4 linked regions of the Tribolium castaneum genome follow. The protein of the gene in region 3 purifies or fractionates together with the protein of the main gene of each other region. This does not show direct contact. Links are inferred from orthologs where the notes say so. Each region holds a gene or a part of one and is shown on either strand. Other genes may lie near its edges. The genes, in order: TIP41-like protein, Prp16, PPP4R2r and coiled-coil domain-containing protein 6.

Evidence for each region.
Region 1: the proteins of PPP4R2r (region 3) and TIP41-like protein purify together in Homo sapiens (affinity purification with mass spectrometry; 5 studies listed by BioGRID and IntAct, counting the BioPlex papers as one, with this or other methods). This does not show direct contact. The link is inferred for Tribolium castaneum from reciprocal best matches to the Homo sapiens genes PPP4R2 and TIPRL.
Region 2: the proteins of PPP4R2r (region 3) and Prp16 purify together in Homo sapiens (affinity purification with mass spectrometry; 3 studies listed by BioGRID and IntAct, counting the BioPlex papers as one, with this or other methods). This does not show direct contact. The link is inferred for Tribolium castaneum from reciprocal best matches to the Homo sapiens genes PPP4R2 and DHX38.
Region 4: the proteins of PPP4R2r (region 3) and coiled-coil domain-containing protein 6 purify together in Homo sapiens (co-immunoprecipitation; 3 studies listed by BioGRID and IntAct, counting the BioPlex papers as one, with this or other methods). This does not show direct contact. The link is inferred for Tribolium castaneum from reciprocal best matches to the Homo sapiens genes PPP4R2 and CCDC6.

What each region holds. Positions count from the first base shown.
Region 1 is NC_087402.1:4,516,366-4,523,246, reverse strand, and holds TIP41-like protein, read left to right. Parts: upstream 1-3,453; 5' UTR 3,454-3,600; intron 3,601-3,655; 5' UTR 3,656-3,661; coding exon 3,662-3,840; intron 3,841-3,887; coding exon 3,888-4,067; intron 4,068-4,119; coding exon 4,120-4,339; intron 4,340-4,386; coding exon 4,387-4,701; 3' UTR 4,702-4,749; downstream 4,750-6,881. Other genes in the region: odorant receptor Or1, read left to right, coding at 1-364, 412-616, 661-816, 863-922; TWiK family of potassium channels protein 9, read right to left, coding at 2,451-2,724, 2,956-3,111; eIF5B (eukaryotic translation initiation factor 5B), read left to right, coding at 4,943-4,989, 5,038-5,109, 5,267-5,985, 6,035-6,759. UniProt on the Homo sapiens protein: May be a allosteric regulator of serine/threonine-protein phosphatase 2A (PP2A). Isoform 1 inhibits catalytic activity of the PP2A(D) core complex in vitro. The PP2A(C):TIPRL complex does not show phosphatase activity.
Region 2 is NC_087394.1:24,669,962-24,677,821, forward strand, and holds the start of Prp16 (pre-mRNA-splicing factor ATP-dependent RNA helicase PRP16), read left to right. Parts: upstream 1-2,704; 5' UTR 2,705-2,883; coding exon 2,884-3,581; intron 3,582-5,709; coding exon 5,710-6,210; intron 6,211-6,562; coding exon 6,563-6,927; intron 6,928-7,860. Other genes in the region: sodium-coupled monocarboxylate transporter 1, read left to right, coding at 986-1,126, 1,179-1,665, 1,896-2,152, 2,205-2,505. UniProt on the Homo sapiens protein: Probable ATP-binding RNA helicase. Involved in pre-mRNA splicing as component of the spliceosome.
Region 3 is NC_087402.1:9,724,409-9,732,111, forward strand, and holds PPP4R2r (serine/threonine-protein phosphatase 4 regulatory subunit 2), read left to right. Parts: upstream 1-3,553; 5' UTR 3,554-3,696; coding exon 3,697-4,575; intron 4,576-6,851; coding exon 6,852-7,403; 3' UTR 7,404-7,635; downstream 7,636-7,703. Other genes in the region: uncharacterized protein LOC107397720, read right to left, coding at 2,901-3,176. UniProt on the Homo sapiens protein: Regulatory subunit of serine/threonine-protein phosphatase 4 (PP4). May regulate the activity of PPP4C at centrosomal microtubule organizing centers.
Region 4 is NC_087398.1:5,838,061-5,846,120, forward strand, and holds coiled-coil domain-containing protein 6, read left to right. Parts: upstream 1-3,820; 5' UTR 3,821-4,114; coding exon 4,115-4,342; intron 4,343-4,391; coding exon 4,392-4,685; intron 4,686-4,810; coding exon 4,811-5,309; intron 5,310-5,582; coding exon 5,583-5,815; 3' UTR 5,816-7,059; downstream 7,060-8,060. Other genes in the region: subdued (anoctamin-4), read right to left, coding at 33-197, 243-475, 525-918, 976-1,144, 1,201-1,361, 1,466-1,534, 1,596-1,664, 1,713-2,049 and 1 more; RpS4 (small ribosomal subunit protein eS4), read left to right, coding at 7,161-7,163, 7,502-7,760, 7,811-7,908.

The sequences.
Region 1 (6,881 bases), about 5.2 Mb from region 3:
TTTTTTGGGCTAGATTTATTTTTTACTATTTTTTCCTCACCGCTGATTTGACCCTAGTCATGTGGATTCTTTTTCCTATTATGGATGGTGAGAGACGTTTTCCTTCAAATGCCTGGTTTCCTTACGATTATCTCTCGGGCCGAAATTACACTTTGACTTACATTTGGCAAAGTATTTTTATCATTTACCACGCTTTAAGTAACGTTTGCATGGATACTTTTTTCGCAATGTTAATGGTACAAACAGGGGCCCAGTGTGACGTTCTCAACAACCAAGTGTCTCTTTTGGGGAAAGAAAGTGTCGATTCTGACACAGTTAGGGGTGAATTAGGCAAGTGTATACACCACCATAAATTAATTTTAAAGTGAGTCGATTTTTTTGTATGTTAAAAAAATAAGAAATTATTTATAGACTAGCTGAAACTATTGGTTTAGTTTTCCGCAACATTGTTTTGGTGCAATTCGCCACCAGTGTCTCAGTTTTGTGTGAAACCATGTTTTTATTATCACTGGTGAAAACTTTGAATGCAACTTTTGTCATGCTGTTATTTTACCAAGTGGCGATTTTTACGCAAATTTTTCTGTACTGTTGGTTTGGAAACGAAGTCGTTTTGAAGGTAATTAAGGCACAAATCTTCAAATTTGAATCAACTGATTCCAGAGCGCAAAATTATATTATTCGGCTTATGAAAGTCGGTGGTACGAATGTCCGCAAAGTTTTAAGAAAGATCTGCTATTTTTCATGCAAAGGACACAAAAACCGATCGTACTTTTCGTCGGGAAAATGTTTCCAATTACTGTAATAACTTTCACAAGCGTAAGTAATTGTTAGAGAAGAGTCGATGTAATTTAAAATATTGCAGATCTTGCGGTCGTCTTGGGCTTATTTTATGGCGCTGAGAAAAGTTCATGATAAGTCGTAAAATTTGGTAATTTTTAGAAGTGCATCACTGACAAATATTGACATTAGCTGCACAGTCACGAGTAATTGTTACTTTCGCAAACGCCAACAGATAAAAAAACGCTTCAAAATATTCAACGATTTATTTTTCTTTCTCTGACTTTCCTTTGGACGAAAAAACTAGTAATAAAAAAATGCAAATTTCTGTATTCTGTCGGAAACTTTGAAAATAAATTCATTGAAATATTTCTTGTTACAAAGCGGAAATTTAGCAATTGGCTAAACGTTTCTAGACGTTGGAAACATAAATATCTCGAAACAGGTAAGTGCTGTTTTTATTTGGTTACTTACGAATAAAACATAAAATTCTAGTAATTTTATTTTAAAACTTTAACATATTGATTGTCATTCATTTAAGTGCCCATAAATCAAATCCCTGATACCTATTCTCCTTTCGTAGTTCGTGGCGTGACTATTTATCATCATACAATGCTGCGCTCACTTATGTTTATCCAAGAAAAAATTTATAGCGTTCTCAATAACTATTACAAGTAAATAGAGGATATTTCAGTGCTGGCGCATCCACCAAAATGGGTTACGACCACAAAAATACAAAATTAATTGCAAAGAAAAACAGTTTTTCAGCTTTTTGCCGGAAATGTGGCAACTCGCTGAAACCATAAATTTTCCAAATAAACAAACCAATGTTTTGAATTACATTTAATTATCCGCAAACAAGAAACCCTGCTATTCCCTCTATCGATCACTAATGTGATTGAAACTTTTTGATTCCATAATGCCTGTGCTTATTAAAAGCCATTATAACAAGTCAACACGCAACTTTTCCCACTTTTGGCTTGGTACGCTTGGCGCGAAAATAAAATAAATATTCGGGCTAACACGCGTGTTACACGGTATTATTTTATTTGATAAAAACGGGGCCTTTCAAAGGATAACTCCAAGTCTCAATTTTCGTTATTTTGTCACTTGCGAGTTCGCAAATTGGCTCATGCATGATACATTTGATTATCCCTTGTTTGGGAAAAATGTGGCTCAATATACACACCGTAAAAATAAATGGATAAGAGAGTCAAGTGTGATTGGTCGGTTGCGACGTTTATGAATTTTTATTGGTCACATTTGATTAAAATTTCAGTGTAACTTTGCACGTGTTAAAATTTTACCAACCTGTTAGGCAGACTTGTGATTAATTTTAAATTTTAATTGGGCCATCCTTAGTGTACTAAATTAGTTCATATGTTCGTTACGGCCCTGGAACACTTGAGCCAGTGTAATAACAACGTGTTTATAATTCAATTAAATTAGGATTGAATTTTTCAGCAATAATCCTGTGTTCGAACATGTAGCACGTTTTCGATTTCTCATTTATAAAACGGAAGTGAAACCATAACTCTGAATTAACGAGTTTGGACCACTTTTATTTGACTACAATTCGCGAAAAATGATTGATTGTTTAATTGGCAAACAAATTAATGCGGAAATTAACTGATTACGGTCTCTCGAGTCGAGTGGTGAAACTGTTTACTTACCAATGGTCGTTAAAACGGTCGATGAAAAAAACACCGCTTTCAACGTGGTCCATTTCGCAACTTGTTCTTTGGGAAATAATGGTATTCCCTCTCTGCACGCACTTTGCAGAATTTTCTCGTAATTCTCCAATTCGCCCGATATAAAGTAATCAAAATTTTTCAAATCGGTGTTATTTACAATCTGTTGTATAAAATTCTCTCTTTTCAGCAAGAGCGTGTTGTTGAAATGATTAAGTCGTGAAATTTCAGCAGGATATTCGAAACGTCGGAAAATCTGAAAGAGAAATATTTACACAAGGAAAGTGGGCTGAATTGCTCGTTTTAAATTTAGTTAAGAATAGTTTGCGTAAATTTGTTTTATTTCTAATTGTGTGGCTGTTTATTTCCCGAGACACGAAAAGCACTAACGAAGAAACTTTTTCAACCAATAAAAACTTGATCTTCGGTCTGGTATCGCGTTTATTTGAAACTTTCGCGATTAAGTAAATTGATTCAAAAGTCGTACCAATCCCCCCGCGACTGTGTACCCCATGAGAGTTATCAAAAGCCCGATGTGTTGGAGGGCGGCTTTCAAGCGCAGTCTTTTCCACCAATTTTTAAAACGTGTTTTAAAGTCCATGGGAGAGCTTATGTAAACCGTAGTTTCCATCATTTCGTCCATGGTTGCGTACAAAAATCACAAACACGAACACATCACCCTTGAAGCTGGGCTGGAGTCAACTAGACGCGAAAGCGTCGCGACGCTTTATGATACTGAATCTTGGAAGTATACAGATGCGCTTAGCGCTCCCAAATGATGCTTTATCATTCCGGGGACGGCTTTTTCGATAATGGGGCGGCCAACGAATCAAAACAAATAACAGAATAATGATTTACCAATTTTCAAGTTTATTTTATTGCATTGCGTACAATTGATTAACTTTAAGTTAATCTGCGATATCAAGGCTATAAGCAAAAAACACGAATTTTATGTAATTTTTTTGAAAACATTTTTTTGCAAACTTTAAATTTGGCGCTGATGCGTTGCGTCTGGCGCAAGCGCACTGTTATAGGACGCAAATAAAACGATTCAAAGTTGAGTAAAGTGAGATATTAGAACACAGGGTCCATTTTTTACAATTAAAGACAAGTCCCTTGTCTTAAAATTGAGGTAAACCGGTGCAAACGTCAAATTTGTCACTGTCTCCAAGTCAGTCATTTTTTAGGTTATAATGTCTGCAGTCACCCCAAATAAAAACGAAATTGATATCCAAAGACTACCCGTAAACTCCGAAGAGCACATTTTTCATGATTGGGTGATAAAGTACAAAAAATCGCATATTCTACACTCGATTTGTACGAGTGCAGAAAAATGCAAAGACCTGTCACAAGAACCTTGTTTACTTTGCTTGTAAGTTTGGAAATGAGGTAAAGTTTGGGCTAATTTTTGTGCTTAAGATACACCCGAACTCTGGATATCCCGCATTTGCCTGAAATGGTGTTTCCAAATAATGTTTTAACTCTTACACACAGTTCAGGGGGGCAAATTGAGTTTAATGCTTTGGATGCGCTTAAAACTGTCGCCAATGGAAAACTGCCCATAAAAGTGGCTTGTTCCGAGGAGTGGAGTGAGTCAAGGTTTGAAAATTGTAGTTTATTGAGGGGGAAAAAATTGATTGGGTTTTTTCAGGCCACCTGAGCATTTGAGCCAAAAAATTAAACCGTTTGATTGGACGTTTAGCAATGATTATAAAGGGACAATCACCGGTCCTGTGCAAGTAGTGCCAACTGAGGAACGGATCAATATTGAGAAACTAAAGGAAAAGGAAAAGATTTTGTTCTATCAAGAGTTAATGCTTTATGAGGATGAGTTACACGATAATGGGATTTCTTCATGCACTATAAAAATCGTAATTTGTTGTGTTATGCAATGCTTGTTGTTTAAGTGTGTTTTTAGCGAGTAATGCCCAGTTCTTACTTCATTCTCCTCAGATTTTTTCTAAGGGTAGATAACGTTATGTTAAGAGTAAATGATACCAGGCTTTACCACGAATTTAGCACAAACTACATCCTGAGGGAATTCACAAACAAGGAATGCGCGTTTGGGGATGTCGAGTTACCACTGAATGTTTTTGGAAACCCAAATGTCTTATCCCCCCATATGCCTGTAAGGACTGCAGTTAACGAGAAATTGATTTTTGGTGAATGTAAACCACCAACAGAAGGGGCCGCAGATCAGTGTTCCATGCAAAGTACCAGCAAAAACGACTAATTTTCTGTAAATAAGTGCATTTAATAAATTATTTTTTGAAATTCAAAATTTGTGTCATAAAAAATAAAATCCCCAACCTTCTCTATTATCCTATGGTCAAGGACAAAACTAAAGTCCCTAAATTGAAGCATGTCCTTTATAAACCTCATGCCAGATTGTTAAAATTTTTCACAATTGTTGGTTTACTTATGATAATTTTTACTAATAAAGTCTGTACTAGTGATTTACGTAAGTTTACAAAATGGGCAAAGCGAAAAAAAATCGCAAAGGAGCAAAAGGCGACGACAGGTACAAATCAACAGAAAATGTCAATTTAGATGATTAAAACGTTTTTAGTGAGTCTGAGCCTGAGGTAGAAACGCAAGAATCAACCGACAAAGCAAACAACAAAAAAAGTAAAGCCTCTAAGTAAGTATTTGGAGTTTTTGTCACTCCATTGAGGTTATGTTTGTTGCGAAACACTTGGCATATTTTCAGCTGTAAAAACGTAGTTTTTGCTGCAATTTCACGTTGTTTGGGATTTTTTGGTTCAATTTGACTCATTCTATGTGTTTTCCTAATGTAGGTCAAAGCAAATCCAGAGTGATAGCGATGGTGAAGTGGCAAAAAAACCAGCCCCAAAACCGAAAAAAGAGAAGAAAGCCCAATTGTCTGACGACTCAGACGATGACCCAGTGCCAACTACAAAAGTCCAGAAATCGTTTGCACTTCTGCAGGTGGAAGATAGTGAACCTGAAGACCATCCAACTAACGACGGTGATAGTGATAGTGATGTTAAGGCTGTTAAAAAAGACACTAAAAAGAAATCAAATAAAAGCAGTGACGAAAACAGGACTAAAGAACCTAAAAAAGGGAAAAAAGCGCGAAGAAAACGCGACGATAGTGACGAAGATATTGAAAAAGTATTAGCGGAACTAGAATTAGAATATTCAGGCGTGAAGAAAGAAGATATACCTAAAACCGAGCCAGAGAAACCGCCGGAAGATAAGAAACCGAAAAAGAAGCAAAATGAGAAAGCACCGTCAGAAGAAAAGGAAGAAACTGAAGAAGTGACAAGCACCGTCAAAACAGCGGCGCAGAAGAAGAAAGAGAAAAAGGAACGTGAAAAATTGAAGAAAATTGCAAAGAAAGAAGAAGTGAAGAAACAGGATAGTGTGGAAGTCGAGGAGCAGAAACCCGATGAGACAGTCACTGAACCAGTTGAGGAAGAAGGCGAAAAGGAGAGTAAAAAGAAGAAGAAAAAGGGCGCAAAAGAAGAAAAAGAAGCAAAAGAGCCCAAAAAAGGTTCACTCCAATTTGTGTCTTTACATTTCGTTTTATTACCTAATTTCAGGTCCTGGCAAGAAAACCATTGCTGCAATGCAAGAAGCATTGAAGAAACTCAAAGAAGAGGAAGAGAAATTAAAACGCGAGGAAGAAGAAAGGATCAAAAGGGAGGAAGAAGCGGAAAAGGCCCGTCTTGAAGCATTGCGACTCGAGCAAGAACGCAAAGAAAAGAAAAAACAAAAAGAAAAGGAACGCAAAGAAAGACTGAAAGCTGAAGGCAAACTTTTAACAGCCAAACAAAAAGCTGATAGGGCAAGAGCTCAAGCACTTATTGATAGTTTGAAGGCCCAAGGGGTCGAACTGCCCGATGTTGGAGTGAAAAAACCCAGACCTGGCACTAGAATCAAGCCTTCAAAGCCTAAAAAAGAACAAAACGAAAGTGCCAAACCGGAAGAAGAAGAAGCAAAACCGGCGGAAGAAGCGGTTCCTGTTGCGGAACCGGAAGTACCGAAGGAAGAGCCTCCGAAAGAAGTGGAACCAGAGGATGATGTTAAAGACGCATGGGATGCTTCTTCAGATGACGAAGAATCGGAAGAAAACACACCGACAAATAACGTTGGAACGAAAGTAGAAGAGAAGAAGGAAGCCGAGCAGGAGGAAGAGAGTTCAGAGGAGGAATCCGAGTCGGGGAGTGAAGATTCCGAAGATGAAGATGAGGATGATGAAGAGGAGGAAGATGATGGGAAAACAGCGGCGGAGAGGGCAAGAAACCGGGCATTGGAACGAATCAAAGTAATTTTTTTGTTTTGATCGATTATGACATTTTTACATTGTTTTCTCCTTTGGACGAACAAATGTGTTTTTTTTTGTATTTTTATGCTTGGTGTTTTGTATAAATTGACTACTTGTTTGTC
Region 2 (7,860 bases), on a different chromosome or scaffold from region 3:
AAGTATTACATTCCATTAATTTTTAGTTTTAAATAAAACTAGTCGATTTTGCTTAGTCTTTGAAATAATTGGATTTTATTGCCAATGCCAATATTTATTAAGTAAGTACCTAATAATTTATTTTTTAATAAATATTCAGTAACAACACTTGTATTATCATTCTATGCCAAACGATATTTAAACGTTCTTTTGTCCAAAAATACGTAAAAAAATTGTCGCTAGAAAGACAGATTACGGTCTAGAGATTGTCAAAAGGGCTGGACGTGTAAAGAAATTCATATTATCGAAGTTCGACTGTTCGAGTTATCGAATAATAACATCTTAGGATTTTGCAGCTTACATGCTATGGAATTGTAACTATAAAAAAATCGAGTTATCGAAGATCGAAATAGCAAAGTTTGACTGTGAAAAATACAATCAAATTTTTTTAATAAAATTAAATTTAAGAGAATTTAAGTGTCTCGATAAATATAGTTTAAATATTTAAATACATTCAAACTTCTAAATTTACAAGTATTTATTCAAATACCAACAAATACTTTTATTATTTATAACTTATAATTACTAATAAATCTCATATGCAGGGTCGCTAATAAGTATGGATACAGCTAAATATCTTTTTTATTAAAATGTGTTCTTTCTCAGTTAAAAGTGTTATTTTAACAATAATTATTATTAACTTTTACTTATTTTTTGGCCAAAGTTCAAACGACAAAGAGCTGACGTTATTATAGCTTTTTAAATAAGGTAAATAGGTAAATATGTTATATCCGAGAACTCAAAAAAAATGATCCTCTTAAAGATATTAAATTTGACCCTTCCTCCCATTATGTATCCCCAGGACAAATAGAGATATAAGATTGATAAACATCTGAGACGTTAGGACTTAAACACTACTATGAGTTTTGATGAATAGTTTTTATAATATTTATTCATACTTTTTAGGTGTACAAATTTTCAAGAGTGACTTTCTTCTCGTTTCCAGCTTTGACCCGGACCCCACCAAACGGGACTCGTTCTGGATTACGTCCATCGGCATGTCCATAGGATGGCTCTCGATGGTGGGGATTCACCAAAGTTGCGTCCAGAAGTTCCTCTCCGTCTCCACATTCCAGGAATCAAAACAGTAAAGCCCAAATCTTGGACTTTGCCAATAATTTTGGTCAAAATTTTTCCAGGTGTGTTATTTACTTTTCGATTGGAATATCCATCGTGTCGTCATTTAGTGTCTTCACTGGCCTTATGATGTACGCACGCTACGCCAACTGTGACCCCTTCACAACCGGAACTGTGCAGAAAAACGACCAACTTTTGCCCTACTATGTTATGGACGTTGCATCTTATGTTCCGGGACTTTCGGGACTTTTCATTGCTGGGATTTTCTGCGCCGCTTTGAGCACTTTATCCGCTTGTCTTAACTGTTTGGCAGGGACCATGTATGAGGATTTTATTTCGAAAATAATTGGGCATGTGGAAGAGAAAACCACGACTTATATTTTGAAATTGTTGGTGGTTATAACCGGAGTTGTGTGTACAGTCCTAGTGTTTGTTATTGAGCATCTTGGAGGGATTTTAGCCCTGGCTATAAGTCTGGCAGGGGTTACCTCAGGGCCTTTGTTGGGCATGTTCACACTAGGGGTTTTGTTCCCGAAAGCGTCAAGTAAAGTAAGTTTTTGCATAATTTTTTCTTTAAATTAATAATTAAATATTATATTTCACACTCGTTTGGTACATTACTAGCATGTTGTCCAAAAGTCTTTAATATAACACTTCATACATGTCACCAATAAAAATTCTTATGATTTTTTTTCTTAAAAATGCGAAAGGAGATCATTCAAGCAATTGTTTCGTGGCTCGTATCAATATTTCAAATTTATATTTTATTACACCTTTAGGGTTCTCTGTACGGAGCAATTATTGCACTACTTTTTGCTTCATGGATTGTCACAATGGCCCAGTACTACAAAGCACAAGGAAGCATAGTTGATGTGCCAAAACCGACGTCTGTGGATGGTTGTTTGGCTAATTTTACAACACTTTCACCTCTTACCACACTTAATTCCACTTTATCATCACTGGAAAGTGTGGCAACAGAAGATATTACGATAGAAAACTCGACTATAAGTCAATTACTAAGCAATTTTACTCAAGCGTAAGTCACATAATATTTAAAGACCATATTTATCTCATCTTTTATATTACAGGACCGAAAATGGAGAAAAACCGAAACCATTTTTTTTATTTCGAATTTCACATTACTACTACACCGGAGTTGGAGCGTTGGTTACAATAATATGCGGTTTATTGATAAGTTATGTGTTGGAAAATGACGATCCTCCGGTACATCGCGATTTAATAAGTCCGGTTGTTCATTTTGCCCTTCCGAATGATGATGATATGCAAAAAGAGAAAAACAAGGATTATTACAGTGTGGAAAAAGCGCTGCATCTTGTGACGACCAACTGGGAAAAAAACGAAGACGATGCGAAAATAATAAAATCATGAATTTTGTATGAAATAAACAGTTATTTTAGTAAAAAAGCATTTTGTTTGCCTTCACCCCAGATGTATGAGACGCCTCTGCTTAGAATCCCTTTTTGAGGAGGTACCACAACTCATAAATAAAAATAACTAGAAATGATATATTTTTGAAGCAAAATATAGTTTTAAAATTATATTTTAAATTAATAACTCCTACTTTTTGTAAGTGCAAGTGATACTTATTACTTTGGTTACCCAGTAACCCAAAAACAAATTAATTATTGCTTCCGTAAATTTGCACGCCACTGGACCAATTGCTACCAATATGTGAAAAACTCAGGTTATGTGAGTTTAAGAGTGAGGTTATATTTACATAACATTTTTTTGCGTTATTAAAAAAGAATGGAATCTGAGGAGAATTTGCACCGCCTGGAAGGCATAAGTGACCAAAAAGGCGGCCTGATTGTAAAAAAGAAGCCCCCAACATTCAAAGTGCCCCAACCTTCGCTCCTAGGCCTCGACCGTCTAGCGGCGGCAAAGCGTCGCGAAAAGGAGGAAGCAGCACGAAAAATGTCTTTTACAATGGACGATAATGACAACACCGACGATTCAAGTTCACTCTTGAAGGAAAAACACTCAAAAGACAGTCGCAAATTCCGGTCACCCCACAACGAGACCCCCACGTACACTGGGGGGATCAGTGACGAGGCCCGCGAGCGCCTCATCGAGCGTCTCAAGTCGAACAAACAGAAGGAGAAGGGGGTTTACGCGACGACTAAAGACAGACACAGGGATAGGGATAGGGACCGGGAGAGGGATAAGGACAGGGACAGGGGGCGCCACCGAGACAGGGAGAGTTCGCATCGTTCTAAGACCCCACGGTTTCGAGACGAGCCCAAGACCCCGAATTTGGGACACAAGGACGAGATTTCAAAGTCGTCATGGGATGACGATGATGATGTCGGGCCCTCGAAAAAGTCTTCGTGGGATTTCCCGACGCCTTCGACTTACAAAGGGAGCGGTGGGGATTGGTCGGAGCGGAGCACCAAGTCACGGAAGTACGACGAGTCGAAGCGAAGCTCGCGCGAGAGTAAACGAAGGTGACTATGACTAGATCTTTGGACGAATGAATGATTTCGTTTCGGCACAAATTAAATGCACAGAAAAATAATAAATGCACAGTATAATTTTTAATAATACGAGTGCGAAAATACAAGCTTATAAAAAGCAGAATTGAAAGCCTTGTTTTAAAGTCTTGAATTATTGTAACAAATTAGTTACGTTTTAATGAACAAACGAACTTGGGTTATTTTATAAATTTATAACAAATAGTTGGTTTTTTACGTCTAAAATTTAGATAAAAAAGTGGTCTATGATTTGTTTTCAGTGTACATACGTAAAAAATTTAAAAAATTTTCAATTAACGCCATACAACGAAGATTTTTTTCTGATTTTGACAGTGACAATTGTTTATTAAAAAAAACAGACTACACTTTTGTTACGTTTTAGGAAACAATAAACATTTCTGATATTGCAGCGAAATTCCAAAAATTATACATTTCTTGAAAACAGCTATAATATTAAGTACAAACAAAATTAAGTAAAGAAACAAAATATAATTACGTATCTTTCTTAGTAAAATAGATTAATACTTTATTTAGTGCAGTGGTTCTCAAACTCTTTCACTTTGCGAACTTTTTCTAACATCCGACAGAAATTGGCGAACCCCTTGTACATCTTTAAAAAGACAATAAAATTTGATAGGACATTTATTTTTTGTTGCAGATTTTAAACTGAATGAATGTTAATGAATACGAATTAAAAAAAAAACGAAAAATTTAATACCTATTTTTTTTATATATTTTAATTTTAAAATTGGGAATAGATCACAGTTAATACTTTGGCAAGGGATTCTTTGAACAGACATGTTAAATAGTTTTAACGTTAGCATCATAGCCAATTTATTCGGAGAAATTTTAGTAAAAAAAGTTGGATCCAGTGTTTGATTTATTTTGAAAAAATGTCATTAATGTTGGCAAAAAAATCCTAGATGAAAATGTAGATACGAAAACTCAGAAACAGGGTCAAATTCCGTATCAGAAAACAGTTTTTGATATAAATGTGAAGACAAAAAGTGCGTAATTAACTCTGCAATTTCCAATTTTTAACAAGAAAGCAACAAAAAATGCAAAATAATCATGTGACAGACAACAATTAAATGATACGAAGGAATAAAAAAGTGCCAATTTTATTTTTAAACTAAGTCTGAAGAAGAATTTGGAACTTGCTTTAACTTCAAGTCCACTTCAGTTCAAATTACAGAAAACTGAGAGTCAATCTTCATAGCACTAGAATTATTGTTTCGTTCGACAAATAAGTTTTTTTTAGTAGAAGCGTTTTTTTATTAAAATTTTTTTACGAAATACTGATTTTTATTCATAGTATTTTAATACAATATTATGTCTTAATAAGCATTGACTTCCCTTTTCATAGACACAAAGTGATAATATTTGTCTTCAGGTGTTGATAAAAACAAACTGAAGTCTATCTAGAATCCGTAAAAGTTTAAATTTTAATGAACATGAAACCATAATTAATTTTTAAAGATATAATTTTTCAAATTTTTAAAAAATTTTTAAAGTGGAATCGTTGTTGTTGCTTATTTTTACCGTGCAAATTGAAATTAGATGCTGTGGATATACACTTTTCTACTTTTTACTGGGTACTTTATACTGAACAAATTTTAATAAAATTTTGTGCGTGCTTTACTTATTAAAATTTTTGCTGTTTAAAAATGAATTAAATACTGATCAAGGATCGATTTATTAGTACCTGACGACAATTATTATATTGCCAAGAGCGTTTGTCAACAGTTAGACATTTTTATAAAAAACACTGGACAACAAATTTTATTTTTTTTAATAAATTATATCTAAATTAATTTTATTTTATATAAGAGATAATAAGAGTAAAAACATTTTTTATAACATGTCAAGTTTTGTAGAAAAATAAAATAAGTAAATTAATTTTACGACCCTATGCACCTCTTTGCTGATAAATACTTTATATTGTAGCGCTTATTTATAATTTTTTTATACTTGTCTTTAATATTGAATGTCAGAACATTCTGAAAGGTTTTGGTGCAACAAAAGTAACAAGTAATAATCTTTTGAATGATCCGTTTGAGCACGCCAATCCATAGATGCTAATAAAATATAATTATTTAAGGAAATACGAGGATGAGAGTGCGAGGTTTACGCCGGCCCATAAATACAATTCCTGGGCCAAAGACAGGAAACGGAGTGGGGCTACGCCCATGCCTGGCAAAGATGGGGTTATCAAGTGGGATAACACCGTCGATAGGGAATTATGGGAGGAGGAACAGAAGAGGATTGACAGGGAATGGTACAATATGGATGAGGGGTACGATGATGGAAATAACCCTTTTTCGAGCGTCAGTGAGGAATATACGAAGAAAAAAGAAGAACAGTTGGAGCAAAGGAAGAAGAAGCGGCTTTCAGCACAACAAAGACAGATCAATAAGGATAATGAGTTGTGGGAGAGGAACAGAATGCTGACTTCGGGGGCTGTACATTCCATTGACTTTAATGAAGACTACGATGAAGAATCCATCGATCGGGTCCATCTGTTGGTGCACAATATTGTGCCCCCTTTTCTGGACGGGAGGATTGTCTTCACCAAACAGCCGGAACCGGTCATTCCTGTTAGGTAAATCAAAGTGGTGTGAGATTTTGAAATTAAGTTAGCAACATTGAATATTCTACTAAAATTAATCTAAAAATTCAGTTTTTTTCGCACGTTTTGCTAAACGAACCGAAAAATCAAAATTAGGCTAATTTTTAGCTTGTATTCGACCAGAAGCGTTATGAAAAGTCATCAAATGACTGCGATAGTGGTGTTTTCGTATTTTTTTAACGTCTAAGCTTTTTTTTAACTAAATAAATATTGTTTTTTTTTCAAGATTTTATTAAAAGTTGTCTTAAAAATCATTCAATTAGGGTGAAAATGAAATGAAAAGTTACTTTGATTAATATTAAATTTTGTATTTTTATTTGTCTAGGGACCCCACTTCTGACATGGCCATAGTCTCGCGCAAAGGCTCGCACCTTGTGCGGGTGTACCGTGAGCAGAAGGAGCGCAAAAAGGCTCAGAAGAAGCATTGGGAGCTTGGAGGCACCAAAATCGGCAACATCATGGGAATCAAGAAAAAGGAGGACGAAGAAGATAAACGATTCAACAAAGAGGACGACACGGCTGATTACAAAACCGATCAGAAATTCGCCGAACATATGAAATCGACAGAAGCCTCCAGTGATTTCGCCAAGAAGAAGACTATTCTCGAACAGAGACGATATTTGCCCGTTTTTGCCGTCCGACAAGAATTGCTGAATGTTATCAGAGAGAATTCGGTTGTTATTATTGTGGGTAAGGCCATGATTAATCGATAATAATCGGAGAAAAGAATTGAATTAAGTGACACACGCTTATCTTATCATAGAAACGAGAACGATTTTTAGATAAGTCGGATTAAAATATTTCAGATGCGCAATATTTTTTGACGTAGGTTTCTTCGAGTATTGTAGTGTCAAAGAAAAAATTTAGTTAGAAAACAATAGACAAAATGACACTTTTTTTCAATTGTTATGATAAAATGCTCATTTTCTATATTACAACAATAGTTTAATCAAACGGATGAATGAAATGAATCAAAAGATTAAATAAAATGTTAACAACCTTTGTTTGACATATTGAATAAAGTAAAAATTAAAATTCGTGCTACCTTTATCGAGGAATCCTGAAAAAATTGGGCAGATGTTAAATTAAATGAAGGACCTGGAACTTCCACTGTACTGGATTAACGGAAATGTAGTCAACTTCTCTGCTTTATGAGTTAATTAAGTTAATAATTACTGGAGTTATACATTTTTTTAAACTCTGCGAAGCTGGAAATATAACATTGTATGATACACGTGAATAAAGAAATTTTATCTATTCAAAAACAATGAAAAATATGGGGCGGAGTGAAAATTGGTAAAAGTTTGAACTTATTTTTAATATAGTTTACGATAAAATACTTGCATTACGTTTATTAGCTGTTTCAAAACTATGTAAACGCCAACGTTGCAATTTTTTTCAAAATTAGTTGCTACAAATTATCACAGGTCAACAAATTTGAACAAAGTTTTGGTAATATTGATGAAATTACCTTTCCTGTTTATAATTTTTTGCTCTACTTTCGAAAATTTTTTCAAAAATGTCTCATCACGTTTCATTCGTATGTTACAAATTTTGTTCTGACATCCATGTTAAGATAAAAGAGTATTGAAAATATTTCAACTGTTTATTTTATTTTATTAT
Region 3 (7,703 bases):
TTACATTTTTTAAAATTACAAGAACTTCAACAACAATAAGCATGAAAGCAACAAATGCCGCTAGCGCGCTAGCTGGCGCCTGTGCTATTTTTTGTAAGCGCGAAAAAAAAATCATAAAGTCATAACGATTAAAAAATTCTTTTAGTATTTGGAAATGATGCCCTGATCACCCCATACTGGTAAGTCAAGAAAAAAAAAATGATCCAGGTTATTATTGTTGTTTAATAAAAAAACATTGACTTCATCATTCATATTTTTTTTGATATTCGCGCTTATGAAAAATAGCACTGGCGCCAATTAGCACGCTGGCGGCATTTGTTGCTTTTGTGCTCATTGTTGTCGAAGCTCTTGTAATTTTCAAAAATGTAAATTAACATTAGGCTGTGCGTTATTCTTTTGTGGATCAAATTAACTTCCTATTAAAGAAAAATTGCAACAACGGCATTACAAATAGTTGATAAGATTTTATTTTGTGATTTGTTACAGTTGAGGTTGTGTTCTTGGTCTCTGATCGTTTTAATTCTTCATTTGGATTATAGTTTTATAATGCAAGTAGTGAAGTATTGATAAAACCAGCAATTTGGAGGGAAAATCGTTTTACGGTGTGAAAACCTTGTGGTGTAGTCTCAGATCAAGTTGTGATGCCGGGATGGCTATCGCTAGCTCATGCATTATTTCTTCCAACACATAATCATGTCTTTTACTATTATCATCAAGAAATAATCAAAATTTACTTTGGATTAAATGAAATTGACATCAAATGTGACAGCAATGACAGCTGTGTCATTCGTAGTGAACTGTTTCCAAGGTAATGGTACGCTCAAAATTTATACTTTTCTATTCTGCAGAGCAGTGTAGAGTTTAGTTTAATCCCAAATAACTAGAGAACGGTACAGTTTGACGACATGAAGCAAGAGTACCTTTTTTATTAAAAAATAATTGGGCTTTTGATTTTTGGTATCAAAAATACGTGTTTATAGGCCGAAAAATTGAGTTATCACCTAAAAACTGGAAGGGCCCCCTTGTCATCGGAAATGTATAGCTTTTACAAGATTTCCATTTACACCATATCAAAGTGCGTCTTTGTGTCTCTTGGCATGCAAAATTTCATAATAATCGCATGAACGGTAAGAAAAATATTTTCAAAAAACCATTTTTCCATACCAATTTCTGAAAAATTGTAACTTTTCAATTTTTTGTGGTGGGTCAGTAAATACTATCCTATCTATTTTCATTTTTAGAGGGGTTTTCGTGGTTAAAATTATGCCACATATTTTTGAATCACCCGATACAATGGTATCCGGTTAGAACGAACTCAGAAAATGCATCACAATCAATTCGTTCGCTAAAAGCGGTAAATTAAAAAAAATGTCTTTTAAGTAGTAATTTTGACTTAACATTTGAAATAAGACTAAATAAATAAGTATAAATAAATTGAATCCTTTGCGAAATAGTAATATATTCATATATTACATGTTACAGATGTATACTGTGTGAATTATACTATAGTTGTGTAAATAAGGTGTTACAGTAGACCTCAAATGTGAAAATTGTAAAAAATAGCTCAACTTACTTTATCCGAATATTTATAGTTTCTGAGATATAGAGAGTTTTGGTCGGCGAATGAATTTGGCAACAACAAAAATCTCTGAGTTTAGTTCTGCCATAAAAAAATATGAAAATGTGGGCAAAAATACCACCGAATGTAAACTTTGGGAAAAAGTACTCAAAAGACGCAAATCTAGTTGACATTGCACTTTTTGACGAATTTTTAGACGCTGAAGTGGAGTAAAAAGTAGTGAAAATAGTAAATAAAGTTTATATAAAGTAAGATGATTAATTTTGACTTTTTAGATCTCTACTATCATAAAAAATTTGCACAACTCTCAAATTCACACTGTAATTAGGTTTAAAAACACACGTTTCCACCAGTTAAAATGTTTTCTGTTAAAAATTCAATAAAAAGTTCGTTATAAACGGAAAATCGCATCACATTTTAAGTCGAATCTAGTTCGTTATATCCGGAAGTTCGTTATAACATCCGTTATCTTCAAAGAGACACACACCACACCCATTTAAAAGAAAAATATTGAGGTGGTCGTGTAACCTTTATTTTATTCCTTCCACCACAAAGCAGCGACATTCGAAACGGGTGAACTTGAACCAAGATTTTTTCAATAACAAAATTTGCACAAAAGTCTCCAGTGGGAAGAAATATGAGTCGGAAGCTCATGAGTCGGAGCTAATACGGTGTAGAGTATATAAATTAAATTTAATGGCCTATCAATTTCACACAAAAAAAGTTAGTCAACATCGGCTACTTTGAAGTAAAACAACTGCTTGAATGTTTACATTTTATGTTTTTGCTAAATAGCATGTCGCTACAAGCCCTTCAAGTTTTATTGCTTGTTGAAAGGAGTAAAAGTTTTTGTCGGACCGACAATAATTTCTGTTTTGTGCTGTGTGCTGGTAAACAATTTTGTTGTTGCTAGTTTCTTTTTAGTTCCACATAGAAAATATTTATCTATTTTCTTTACTGTAACTATTATATAATTAAATAAACACATACAAGCAGAGTAAAATGAAACAATACGTTGATTCGTTTTTATATCTGGGCCAGTGTGTTACTTTTTGCAAAAGTCGCCCGCTTGCATCTGTAAGAGTTCTAAATTCTAATTAACACAAATCTTTTAAAGCGATTACGCTCGGGTATAGGGCTGCCTTACAAAAGAAAATAATCCTCATACGTGCGCAAAATGATACAAATACATAACAAATAATATATTTACAAACAATTCGGTATTATAAAAGATAAACAGAGTATATCATATTCATAAGCCACGTTAAAGCTATGTACAAAATAAAACTTACAAGGTATTTTTCTCTTACAATTATGAATTTTAAGCGTTTATTTTAAGTTCGTTTCTCAGGATTTTGCCGCTGGGGTTCCTTGGGATCGACTCGACGAATTTAACACCGCCGGCGATTTTTTTGTAATGGGCCACTTTGGGGTTTATGTAAAGTAGGATGTCGTCTTCACTCAGGCTGCTCCCGGGTTGGCGCACGACGAAAGCTCGGGGCACTTCACCGGCCAAAGCGTCCGGAATACCCACAACAGCACAATCGGCCACTCCGGGCATCTCCAGGAGCAGATTTTCAAGCTCGGTGGGCGACACCTGTTTACAAAAAAATAACGATTATTTCTTACGTAAATATTTAACAACGCGTAATAAAAAGAGTATAAAGTATGACTTCGTAACGTTAAATTCCAGGTGCCACGTAATAAAATAATTAAGGTGTGTTTTAAATTCAAATTAAAAAAAATTTTTGAATTAAAAACCACAGGGTATGCAACCAGTTATACAAAAAATCCGAGTGTTCGCAGAGAAAATATTTTTAGCGAAATCTCGGTGTCGCTCACCCGGTTTTTGCACACGTGTTAGACTTTGCGCTGTTGCTGATTATAATTTTTAATGACTGTACTTTAAAATCAAATAAAATTGTCTCGCGTTTAAATTGATAAATGACCACGTCCTTAAAATAGGCGCGCGGTTGCGCAGTTCGTCGATCACGTCCTACTTTGAGTGGAATGATATTGAACCGGCGCTAACTTCGTTATTGTCATTGGTGCGCTTGTTGACGCAAGTAGATGGTGATCGGTGGTGCTAAAATTTCGCGAAAAAAACAATAACAATAATGGAAAATCCCGAAGAAATACTCCACAGTTTAGAGGAATTCTCGAAAACCAAGCCCAAGGACATACCGCGCGAACTGGAGGAGTACCTTTGTTTTGTGGCGAAAACAGGGGACCCTGTGTACCAGTGGTCGGCAATAAAGAGCCTCTTTCGCGAGAAGATGATTAACGTTATAACGGAGTTCTACGAGACGTGCCCTTCGGTCGAGATACCCCCTTGTCCCAACGTGGACATTTTCAATTACGACCTTATGAAGAATTTTATTTTAGAGAAGTTGGACACGTTTGCGGCGGCCCCCTTCACGTTACAGAGGATTTGCGAGCTGTTGACGACTCCGAGGAAGGAGTACAATCGGATAGACAAGTACATGAGGGCCCTGGAGAAGAATATCCTAGTTGTGAGCACCACTGAACCTGGGGGCAGGAGGAACACGGAGAACGGGGAGGGCATTATGAACGGGTTGGAGTCGGAACATTTGCCGGAAACTAGCAATAGCAGCAATGACATCAACGTGGAAGAAATGGACGATGCGCCAGCTTGGCCTAGATTGCTACAGAACGAAAATGTTCCATATCAAAATGAGAATAGCAACAGTAATGACATTCAAACCCAGCCAATTGTACAAGAAACGGTGGTCACCGCGTCTAAGCTACCAGATGTGGCCTGCAGCTCGTCTCAAGACACTGTCATAACGTGTCGAAGCTCAGAGGAGCCCTACGTTTCGATTGAACCTGTGCCATCAAATACTTGCACCAGATCAGACCCAGATGAGACGGATGTCTCGGTTACCATCACTGCCATACCTGCAGGGGTCCAAAAGAGACGAAACAGTGTCGAACCGGTCGTTTCGTCAGAAACCGAAGAAATCACCGAGTCTTGTGTAAGTACCAAGTTTTGATCAAAGTGTCCATGTGTTTGAAGTTGGCAACATTAATTGCTAAATGGTCACGTCACACTCAGGACAGTGTTGCCAGGCCTCGCAAAATTTCACCAAGTTTTGTGATTTCGTAATTTCAAAATTTCTTCGAAAATTACTAAATTAAAAAACTGTTATCAAACCATTAAAATCACAAAATCCCTCGATGTAGTTAGTTTAGGAGCGAAATTTCGTAAAAAAAGTCAAAAAACCGTAAATAGATTTTAAAATTGTTATTTTTAGCTTTTCAAGCACGTTTTTGAATAAAATGCAATGTGTTTTTCAAGATTTTACAAAATTTTGTTCGTTCTATTCGCCTCTTTTATTTTGAAAAATCTTGTTAAAACGCGCCAAAAAAATACAAAAATAAATGAAAATTGATGGTTTCACTTAATTTGCTCATTTTTGAACAAAATTTCGTAGTAAAATACCCTAAAAGACGCAAAATTTGTGTGGAAATGGTGTTATTTTTTTTAATTTTTTAAGTATTAACTAAGCTATATTAACAAAATTTTCTTGAGAAGACCGAAAGTTAAGAAATAAGAAAAAGAAAGTCGGAAATATCATTATTTCTTCCTTTTTTGTGCGTGTGGACATATTTTACAGTCCGAAATGTAAATATTTCGTAAAATTTTGTTGTAAAGAAGCTTAAAATTTGCCAGCTTTTTTTAAAAATGGTGATTCTATGCATTTTCTATGCATTTAAACGTATTTTTAACGCGAAATATTTTTTCCCTTTTGAAAGAATATCTAAAAAATACGCAGCTTAGATTGTCTCGCTTGGTTTAGTTTTATTTATTTTGCAAAATCTTGCTAAAACGCCTCAAGAAGAAACCGAAATTTCTTAGGAAAAAACATGTAAAAGCGCATTTTTGGAGTTATTTTTCACCATTTTCAAGTTTTTTTTTCTTGTGAGAATGAGCATGTTTTAGAGCCTGAAATGCAAATTTAATAAAATTCTGGTCAAAACAAGTCCAAAATCCACCAAATTACGCTAAAAATTGTGCTGTTTTACATTTTTTGAGGATTTAGACGTATTTTAAAAACGAAAATAATTTTGCAAAAATTATATTAAAATTAGTATCAATTGGCAAATTATGTTGTAGTGTAGTAGTAGATTAGTAGATGTTTTTTAGCTTATTTGATTAGATTTTATTCGTCTTTAAACCTGTCTCCTTTATTTTGCAACATCTAAAACGCTTCAAAGAAACTGATGGTATTTAACTGTTGCACTTGAAAAAACTCAAAATGTGTTAGAAAGTGTTGTTATTTTTTTATTCCCTTTCGAGATTACAGCAAAATTACAAAATTAGATTGAAAATAACATTATTAGTTTTTGTGCAAAATTTCTTAGAAAAAAATCTGAAAAGGTACATTTTTTTGGAAATGGTGTTATTTTTTAACTTTTTCATGTATTTTTTTTCTTTAGACAAGACCAAAAAATTAAGCTGGAAATATTCTTTCTGTATTTTTTGTGTGTATGAGCATGTTTTAGAGTCAGAAATGCAAATATTTTATAAAATTTTGTTCAGAACAAACCCAGGATTATGCTATGGTGCTATTTTACCTTTTTTGAGCATTTAGGTGTATTTTAAAAACGGAAATAATTTTTTCTTTCGAAAAATTGTACTATAATTTACATACAATTGGCTTAACAATAAACAAATTATATTATAGTGTAGTAGTAGATATTCTTTTTGCTCATTTTATTAGATTTTGCTCGTCTTTGAACCAGTTTCCTTTATTTTGCAAAGATCCAAAATACTTCAAAAAAATTGATGGTGTTTTACATGATTTACTATTTTTGAGTCAACTTGCTTGAAAAAAATATACGAAGAAACGCAAAATGTGTTTGGAAATGGTGTATGTTTTAATTTTTAAAATCTCTTTGAAATGAATAAAAAATTACAAAATTAAATAGAAAAACACATTTCTTTTTGCAGTATTTTTTATTCTTGCAAATGTGCATGTTTTACATTATGATTTTTACCAAAGTATTGCCTTTCCGCGCGTTTACGCACGTTTTTAGGCTAAAAACTGTTTCTTAACTTTGCTAAAATTGTCTCTTTTCGTTTCGCCCAATTGATTTTTACGTTTTTAAGCAAAATTTCGTCAACAATAATAGCAAACCAAAAAAAAGTCTGATAATCTGATGAATAAGTGGATCGGGGATTTTTTCAGTTCGGAGTTACGAGTGTGGCAGTTGTGCCAGCTTAATTTGGAAAACATGTTTTTTCTAGGACCAATCTGACAAAACCAGCGAACCTTCCAAAGAATCTGAGGCTAAACAAGAGGAAACGCCTTCGTCGCAGCAAATCGAGGACGCAGACTCGTCCTCAAGCGCTGAAGACGACAAGGAATCGGTTGAAAGTAAGGAGGAGAAAACTGTGGACGATGCGGTCCCTCAGAGCGAGTTATCGTCGACTGAGTGCGATAAAAACGAGGATGAAGTTGGCACATCGCAAGAGAAACTTGACGAGAATCCGGACGAAAGCGAAGAAATAACTGTCGATACCACCAAGTGTTCAAATGCCTCCCCAACACCACAGGAAGAAACTAAAGAAGACCTCGAAATTACGTCTTCTGACAAAATTGATGAGGTGCACTCGTCACAAAGCGAAGCTGAAGCGAAAATTGAAGAGACTGAGAAATGTGAAGAATCTCAAGCTGCTCCCGAAGAAGGGGTGAAAGAGGCAAGTGAAGAGGCGGCGACTGCGATGGATGTGGATGAGTTTAGCGAAAAAGTGGAAGAGGTTGTCAGGGCTGAAGCTACGTCAGACTCACCTTTATAATTTAGATAATTTTTTTCCTTAATTAACGATCAAGGCTAACAAACGCGCCTTCTTAATTGTTAAGTATTTATACAATGTGTAATTATGCAAACGAAGTTTTTTCATTTTACTAGAATCTGTAGGGTTCGTCTGATTCGTCAACAAAATTCGTTTTTTTTAAATTTGTATGTAGAGCGTAGGTAAATAAATTTGTACGTAATAAAGAACTGAATAAATGGTTTATCTATTGAAACCTTTGCATCTTTTTGTCAAGACCGACATCCTGCCTACTTTTACAGAGAAAGTGGAGCGAGGATAAAA
Region 4 (8,060 bases), on a different chromosome or scaffold from region 3:
TTTGGTTTTTTGGACAATTTACAATAACTCACCCAATTAAAAATTACAATGCAAAATAAATTAATACAAGCTGCGGTACAAGTTGTAAACAGAATAGCTTGACTGTTATCAACCGTATCAGCATAGACCCTCAAAGCGAACAGGACTGACATGCGATAGACAACTATAGCTACCACAGTAGCTAAGGCCAAAGTGACCTAAAATTAGTTATGCTTACAACGTAATTAAATTTTATTAATTACCAGTAACATAACAACCGAGAAACTAAAAATGGTCACGGGGACCCGCAGCCGCCAGAAGGGCACATGCGGTTCCATAATATTCGTAACGACATTAACTTCCTGTCTTTTAACATGCGCAAGCCTTGCCAAATACTGCGGCCTCGGATGCTCCTCCTGTATATCAAAACCTGTCAAATCCCACCTGTGTGTGATTTCCGCCGAGTATCGCTTCCACAATTCGAGAAATAGCGCCGCTGGAAGATTAAATCACGCACAAATTCATGCCAAAAGTAGTTTTTTTACCCCAAAATGACATAAAAATTGCAAAAAATACGGTCGTTGCGTTATCGAACAGATAGGTGATTCTGGCGTGAGTGCACGTCTCTTTCAAATCCCAATAGTTACACCAGTGGTTGCATAATGGACACATTTTGAAGGTGAAGTTACCGTTACAAATATCTTCGCTTGGTTTGTTGTAATACAGGGTGACGCACGAATAGATGAAACATGCTAAGCCTACGACGGCCGCTGGGAGCAACATGTGGGTGTAAAAACCCAACCAGGCGAAATAAAGCGCGATTTTCACGCCAAAGTACTCTTTGACGTAGTCGAGGGGCTGGTAGCGGTACCATTTGCTGAGAGCTGTCCATTCGTTGTAGAGGAGGTAGCGCAGCGAGCCAGGCTCTCGCAAGTCGCCCTAAGAATTTTTTTAATTTAAATAAAACTCGAAAATTAGGAAAATTAAAAATCCTACGTCATGTAGAGGATACGCCGCACTGTAGACACTGTCATTCAAAAGCCGCTCAATGCCGAAGGCAAAGTCGTCATGGTGGTTGTCACTGAACCTTTTCCTGTCCAAAATAAATTGAACGATTCGTGAGTGAATGGCCGGAGTGAAGAAACAAGGGGAATCAACATCGAATCTACAAAAATTGAAACAACGCTCGTATTTTGCTCTAATGACTCAAAACTAACATACAAATATTCTCTGTCTCGGCTATAAATCGCTGTAAAGCGTTGGTCTTTCTCGGGAAATTTCTCCGAGTCGACGATAACGTAACTCTTGAGCTTATCCCACTGACTTGTAATGCCTTCGACTATGAAATTAGTCCTCGAATGCATTTGGCGAAACGCCGGCATCTGTAAAAACGCAGCGTTCAGTTCGTGTCATTTATAAATGAAAAGCCCAAAGAACAGAAACGTAGTTAGTAAAGCTGACTCTGTTAATACAAAACACAAAATACCTGACGAATAAAGGCAGTGGCATTGTACAAACGATTGTGACGGAACTCTCTCGGCAATTTACACAACTCCTGTAGTAACAGCAAATAAAAAAAAATATTTAAAAATAAAAAAAAGAAATTAAACAATTACCTCTCTCATCGGCATGCGCAACTTCAAGATCTCGCTATACCTCCGCAGCACTTCTTTTGGTGCATGAATCTACAACTTGGCGTTAGAAATGAGGCACAAAACGTAGCGAACTATTACTTTAATAAAATTCAAACCGTTGCTTTCTTGCGGCACATATTCCAATTCAAGTCCGTCCCTGACTAAATTATTTTCAAAAAGTTTACGTTTTTGGTAAGCTTCTGGTGTGGTGGCGTCCTCTCTGAAGGCGTCCCATACGAGGACAAAATCAACCGATCTCATGCCGTCGTTGAAATAAATCGTAGGGATACGACACGATATTTTATTTTTACGACATTCGCTACTTTTATGACTAGATTCGTTATGATTTGGTTGAGTATCACAAACTGGCGATTCGAGTGAACTTTCAGGTATTATGATTCGAGGCTTGTTTTTCGGGGGATTGTCGGAAAAGTCTCTAAAAAATTAATTTTGTTAATTGCGAGGGGATTTGAACGTGAGTTTGTGCACTTGGGGACTTACGGGGCGCAACAGAGGTATCGATTGAGGATTCTCATATCGTCAGTGTGGTTAAAATGTGGAACAATATTAAAAACATGTATAGTAAGCTAGTCTGCTACCACACCCGCATTTTGATAAAAACAAATATCGACTGAACTTCGAAAGGCTAATGAGTTAATGGCAGAAACGTGCCTCTTGTTGGTTTAGAAAGTTTACTAAATTTTAATAAACGGATAACGAATAAAAGTCGGAAATTTTTAAGGTAATTTTTATTGTACTGTAATAGTTATAACACAAATAAAAATTCATTAAAAGAAGAATGAGTGCAGTACTTTTTGCTGGCATCTAATTGCATTTCCTTTTTATATTATTTAAACCGGTGATAATAGCGTTATTATTACTAATTCTGATAACAAAGGTCGCAGTTCTTGCTCTAAAATAAGTACTCGGAACAAATCAGTGTTTGCGTATACACAATAATAAAATAAAAAATGTAGTAGAGTTAAATGTTGGGCTTGAGTTATTGTTTGCGTAAGATGATCAGAGAAACAGTGTTAGTACCTGCCAACACTTGCACGTAAAAATAGATAAAATAAACAAATACAACCGCAGGTGTTAAACGAACAGACAAAGACGATTCTTACCTTCCCGTATCCATTTCCGAATCTAAATCATCAGCACTTTTATACAAATTAACAACAGACATAGCATCCATATCTAACTTATCACATGAATTGGGTTTTCTTTGCTTCACTTCAACTTCCCCATTACAGTAACTCAAAATGTGGGGCTGACTCATAAATCTATCATTTTCCAAACTGTCCCCATGCCTTACAATGGTCAGTCTCTTCTTATGGATTTTTCTTCTGGTAGGTGACAGTTCTGACGTTTCTTGTCCTGACAGTAACAAAGGGGCTGACATGGACGTTGTAATTGAGTTTTTTCGAACATTGTCTTTGGTTGTCTCTAGTGGCATCACAATTTTAATAATCTATAAAAATAGTAAAGCTTAATTTAAACACGAAACGACTAGTGGTTCATTTTTCTTGGACTAGTGAGTCACGAGCTTGAAAACGTCACATAACAGTACTTGGGTAAAAATTTACAAGTATGATAACATAGACCATAATTACATGCAGTGATAACTGACTGCTGTTATTATGTTTGTGTAATTTTTATTTAACAAAAAAGTGTTTGCTATTTTTAAACATGTCAACTGCATTCTTGTAATTTGAAACCTGATCACTTGAGTTAAAAAAAAACACATACTCACCTCACAGATTCACTGTTAAATGCGAAATAATACACATTTTACAGCGATATTACAGTGATAATATCAAGTACAAATTCCCCTTTTTAAAATAATTAGTTCTTTTGTACTACTGGTAGTTTGAATAACTTATACAGTAGATAAAAAAAAGAATCATTATTTAATATTTTTGCTAAAGAAGATAAAAGTTGGGTAATAAATATTGTGGCTCAGTTTTAGGTTCCAATTTTCTGTTTAAGTATTTTAATTTTTTATATGGATCATGCCACCTCTTAGTTCGATTCTGCAAAAAAGTTACTAAGGAAAATAAAAGTCCTAAATTGAAAATTTTTGTGCAATTTTTTACTTTACTATACTTTCCGAAACGTGTAATATTGCCTTGTTGTTCAATTTGTTTGCGATAAGGTAAAGTTCATCCGATTTGAAGGCGTATTACCTTCGATAATTCGTTCTCCAGCCGGTTTTTTGGTAACATTTTCCGCATTGGCAGCAATGTGCATGGCGGCTGTCAAGAAACGAAACCAAAAATTGTCATCTGTCCTCATGTTTATTGCTAATTGTTTAATTTTATAGTTACAGTGAAGCAATAAAGGTGTGAATTTATGTATTTTTAACTAAAAATAACAGTTCCCTCCTCTAACTCTATGCCAAACAAACCCACCTGAAAAAACCCCAGAAGAAATTCTTCAACACTTGAAAAAAATCCATGACGATCTCGCCCATTCCTACCCTAATTTGATCGTGTTGAATTATGTTTAAAGACATGGCTGATTCAGCGAGTGAGTCTGATTCGAGCAGCATTGACGGGGGCCCCATCATGATGCCCCCCAGCCCCATAACCAGGGAGCAGCTCCAAAAGCGGATAGAAAGCTTGCAGCAGCAAAATCGGGTGCTTAAAGTCGAACTCGAGACCTACAAGCTGCGGGTCAAGGCGCTCCAGGAGGAAAATCGCGGCCTGAGACAGGCCTCTGTCATTATCGTGAGTCCAAAACCTTCAAGCCTTGCCGTTTACTAACCCAAAATTGCAGCAAGCCAAGGCTGAGCAAGAGGAGGAGTTTATTTCAAACACTCTTCTTAAGAAGATTCAAGCGTTGAAGAAGGAAAAGGAGTCTTTAGCCCACCACTATGAAAGGGAGGAGGAGTGTCTTACCAACGATCTCTCGCGGAAACTCACGCAGCTGCGACAGGAGAAGTGCCGACTTGAACAAACTCTAGAGCAGGAACAAGAGTGCCTTGTTAACCGTCTAATGAGAAAAATTGAGAAACTAGAAGCTGAGACGCTGGCCAAGCAGAGCAACTTGGAGCAGCTGAGACGCGAAAAAGTAAGATACATGGGGAAAAAATTACACATTAAATTTAAAAAATTAAATTTGTACTTTAAATAATTTATTTATTTCTTCAAGAGTTAGTTTCATTTGTGTAATATCTATAATACTTTAATAATTAGGTCGAGCTTGAGAACACTCTTGAGCAGGAGCAAGAAGCTCTCGTTAACAAGCTCTGGAAGCGCATGGACAAGCTCGAGGCCGAGAAGCGAATGCTTCAGATCAAATTGGACCAACCGGTCTCAGATCCGGCGAGTCCTCGTGACATCAACAACGGCGATACTGCCACCAATCTCAGTGCCCACATCCAGACTCTCCGTTCGGAAGTGGCCCGTTTGAGGCAAACATTAGCAATCAGCCAACAAGAGCACACCCAGAAGATGCAAAGATACGCGCAAGAGGAACGCAACATCAAGGAGGAGAACTTGAGGTTGCAGAGGAAGCTGCAGTTGGAGGTGGAGAGGCGCGAAGCTCTCTGTCGCCACCTCTCGGAGAGCGAAAGCTCGCTGGAGATGGAGGAGGAGAGGCATTACAACGAGCAAGTGCTTGGGGCCAGGCAGCACACGGTGTCGCCGGTTCCGTACAATCCGTCGCCTAGCCAGAGTCGCCCCCTGAGTCCAGGTGGGAAAAACATTTTTTAAGCTCCTAATTGTAAGATAAAACCAGATATTGTCGGGTTCCTATAAAAAACATACCGAAAAAATATATATTTAAACTCTGCCTTCTATTAAACTATGTTAGTTATTTCAAAAAATACAAAGTCTTATTTTGTGTATTTGCGTATCTTCGCTGTAACAATTATGTTTTTTTATTTTTAACACCAATTAATCGATAATCCGTGAACCCCTTGTAACAATTAGTTCGGATGTAGGTGTTATACTGTGATGTTTTTAGGTTTGTCGTCGATGCAAGCCCCATCCCCGCGCGACTCGCTAATCGTGGGCCCCCCACGCTGTCCGACTTGCGGTCAATTACTAACGGCGGCTTGCGTGCCTGCTTTGCACAACGTGGGTTCCAGCAGCCCCCCGGCCCCGGCCCACCGAAGGACCAGCGAAAGATTCATCAAGCCGGCGATTCCAGCACCACAGCCCGCTAGTCCCATGGATACTTCAATCACTAAAGAATAAGATAAAAAAGGTGTCGAGTTGACAAATAAGTAATCATGTTGATGGGCTTTCGTTTTGCAGGTGGTGAACATTTGTTGGTTTTCTCTGCATGTTATTTGTATAGGGGCTTTAAAGTTCGAAACAAATAAATTTAATAAAACTACATGGTGTTACTGTGAAACTAATGGATACATAATTTTTTCTTATTTAGATATATTATACTTGGATTTTTCGATTTTCGGGCAGCTGTTTTTGATTAATTTCGGGATCTGCTTTGCTTTTAATATGTGTACTTAATGATGTTATATGATAAAGGGAGCTTCATTGTGGTCAGCTCTACTAAAATATTTCCATATTTGAATGTTTACAAGTGATCTTTCAATCTAGCAACGGCAGTTGTCACAGGTCCGATGCCATGTTGAACCATTGCCAACAATTTTCACAATGTTTGTGATATGTGAGTTTTTGTTAATTAAAATTGTGACACGATTTCTTAACAATTTCGTTTAGTTTGTACACTGCACTCTGCCAAACTTGTTTTCTTAGTATTCATTATTTTGTCATGCAATAATAAATCTAGCTTACGTTTTAAGTAATGGATATCACGTTTTTTATTTGTAACACCATTTCAATTAAGTAAGTTTAATTGAAATGTTGAAGGTTATTTATCCGATTTGTTACATTCATAACACTAGAAATTACGAATTAAAGACTATTTAGTTTAGAGTTAGGTGTTTTTTAGATTAACATCTCAAAAATTGACACTACAGGTGGCAATTCAAAAAAATTGTGAAAAGTGATATTAGGATATAAACTCATTAGTTTCATTGGTGGAATTACATTATCATCTTGATTTGCCAAATTTCTAAATTTAAACAAAATTCTTCCCTTACTAAATTAAAAGCCAATGAAAACTTTCGGTGACTATTTCAGGGTCATATGTTAGTCTAGGATAACATTTTGTTAATGTGAGTTTGAGATATTTGTTATGTTTTTAGTAAACTGATGTATTTTCCTGAAAATGTTGTTTTTATCTTGTTTTTTTTGTAAAAAAAGCTATTCTATTTAGTAAACGCTGTGAATCATAAAAAAGATTACATTGGCCTATTGCACCAACAGTCCCAGAAACAAATGATTCTGAATAAACAACTGGCTTACGAATTTCCTGTAATCTTTACGCTACGAATTATTTTCTATTTTAATAATTTGTATAAGGTTGAATGATATGTAATGGTTTTTAAATAATAATAAACACTTAAAAGCAATCGTTTTTAAATTTTGCGCCCATCTCTTACGCCATTTTTGTTTGTTCTACTAACTGCATTACCGACCGATCCTTCTCTTTTCATCCGGGTGAAGTGTCAAGATGGTAAGTCCGTACCGATTTTTTAATAAATCAACAATCATCCGTGTTATTTATTATTAAATTTGGCCCAAATTACGTTAAATTAACAATTGGAACCTTGTTTCTCACATTGTATTCATTATTTATCCGTATTAGTGCCTCACAAGTCAATAATTGTCGAAAAAAGATCGTCATGTCAACATTTAAAAACACGTTAGTTTTGTTCGAAAAAACTAAACCACCTTCTGCGAAAAGTGTTTTTCCTGCTCATTTTCGCGAGTTGTGTTTTTCCAGGTTGTAAAGTGATTGTTTTGTGCTTTTATGACATTGTTGGCGTTCCGGCCCTAACCACTATTTTTTAGGCGCGAGGTCCCAAAAAGCATTTGAAGCGTCTCAATGCGCCCAAAGCATGGATGTTGGATAAACTGGGGGGTGTGTTCGCCCCTCGGCCTTCCACCGGCCCCCACAAGCTACGGGAGTCTCTACCTTTGGTTATCTTCCTGCGAAATAGGCTGAAGTATGCCTTGACCAACTCAGAAGTGACGAAGATTGTTATGCAAAGATTGATTAAAGTTGACGGAAAAGTTAGGACAGACCCCAACTACCCCGCGGGTTTCATGGGTACGTTTTCATTTTTGTCCAAGTTTTGGGACCGCAATAGTGATTTTTAGATGTTGTGACTATTGAGAAAACTGGGGAATTCTTCCGCTTGATTTATGATGTTAAGGGAAGGTTCACAATCCATCGCATTACTGGAGAAGAGGCCAAAGTGAGTGAATGCTTTTTTAAACCGTTTCAGGGAAAAATTGATGAAAATCGATAAAAGGCACAGGGTTGAGCTTCGCTCCCCCTAAATGTGATTCCTAATGAACACATCTTACTCATCTGATTTTGTGCACTAAAATTACGAAACTCAGTCGT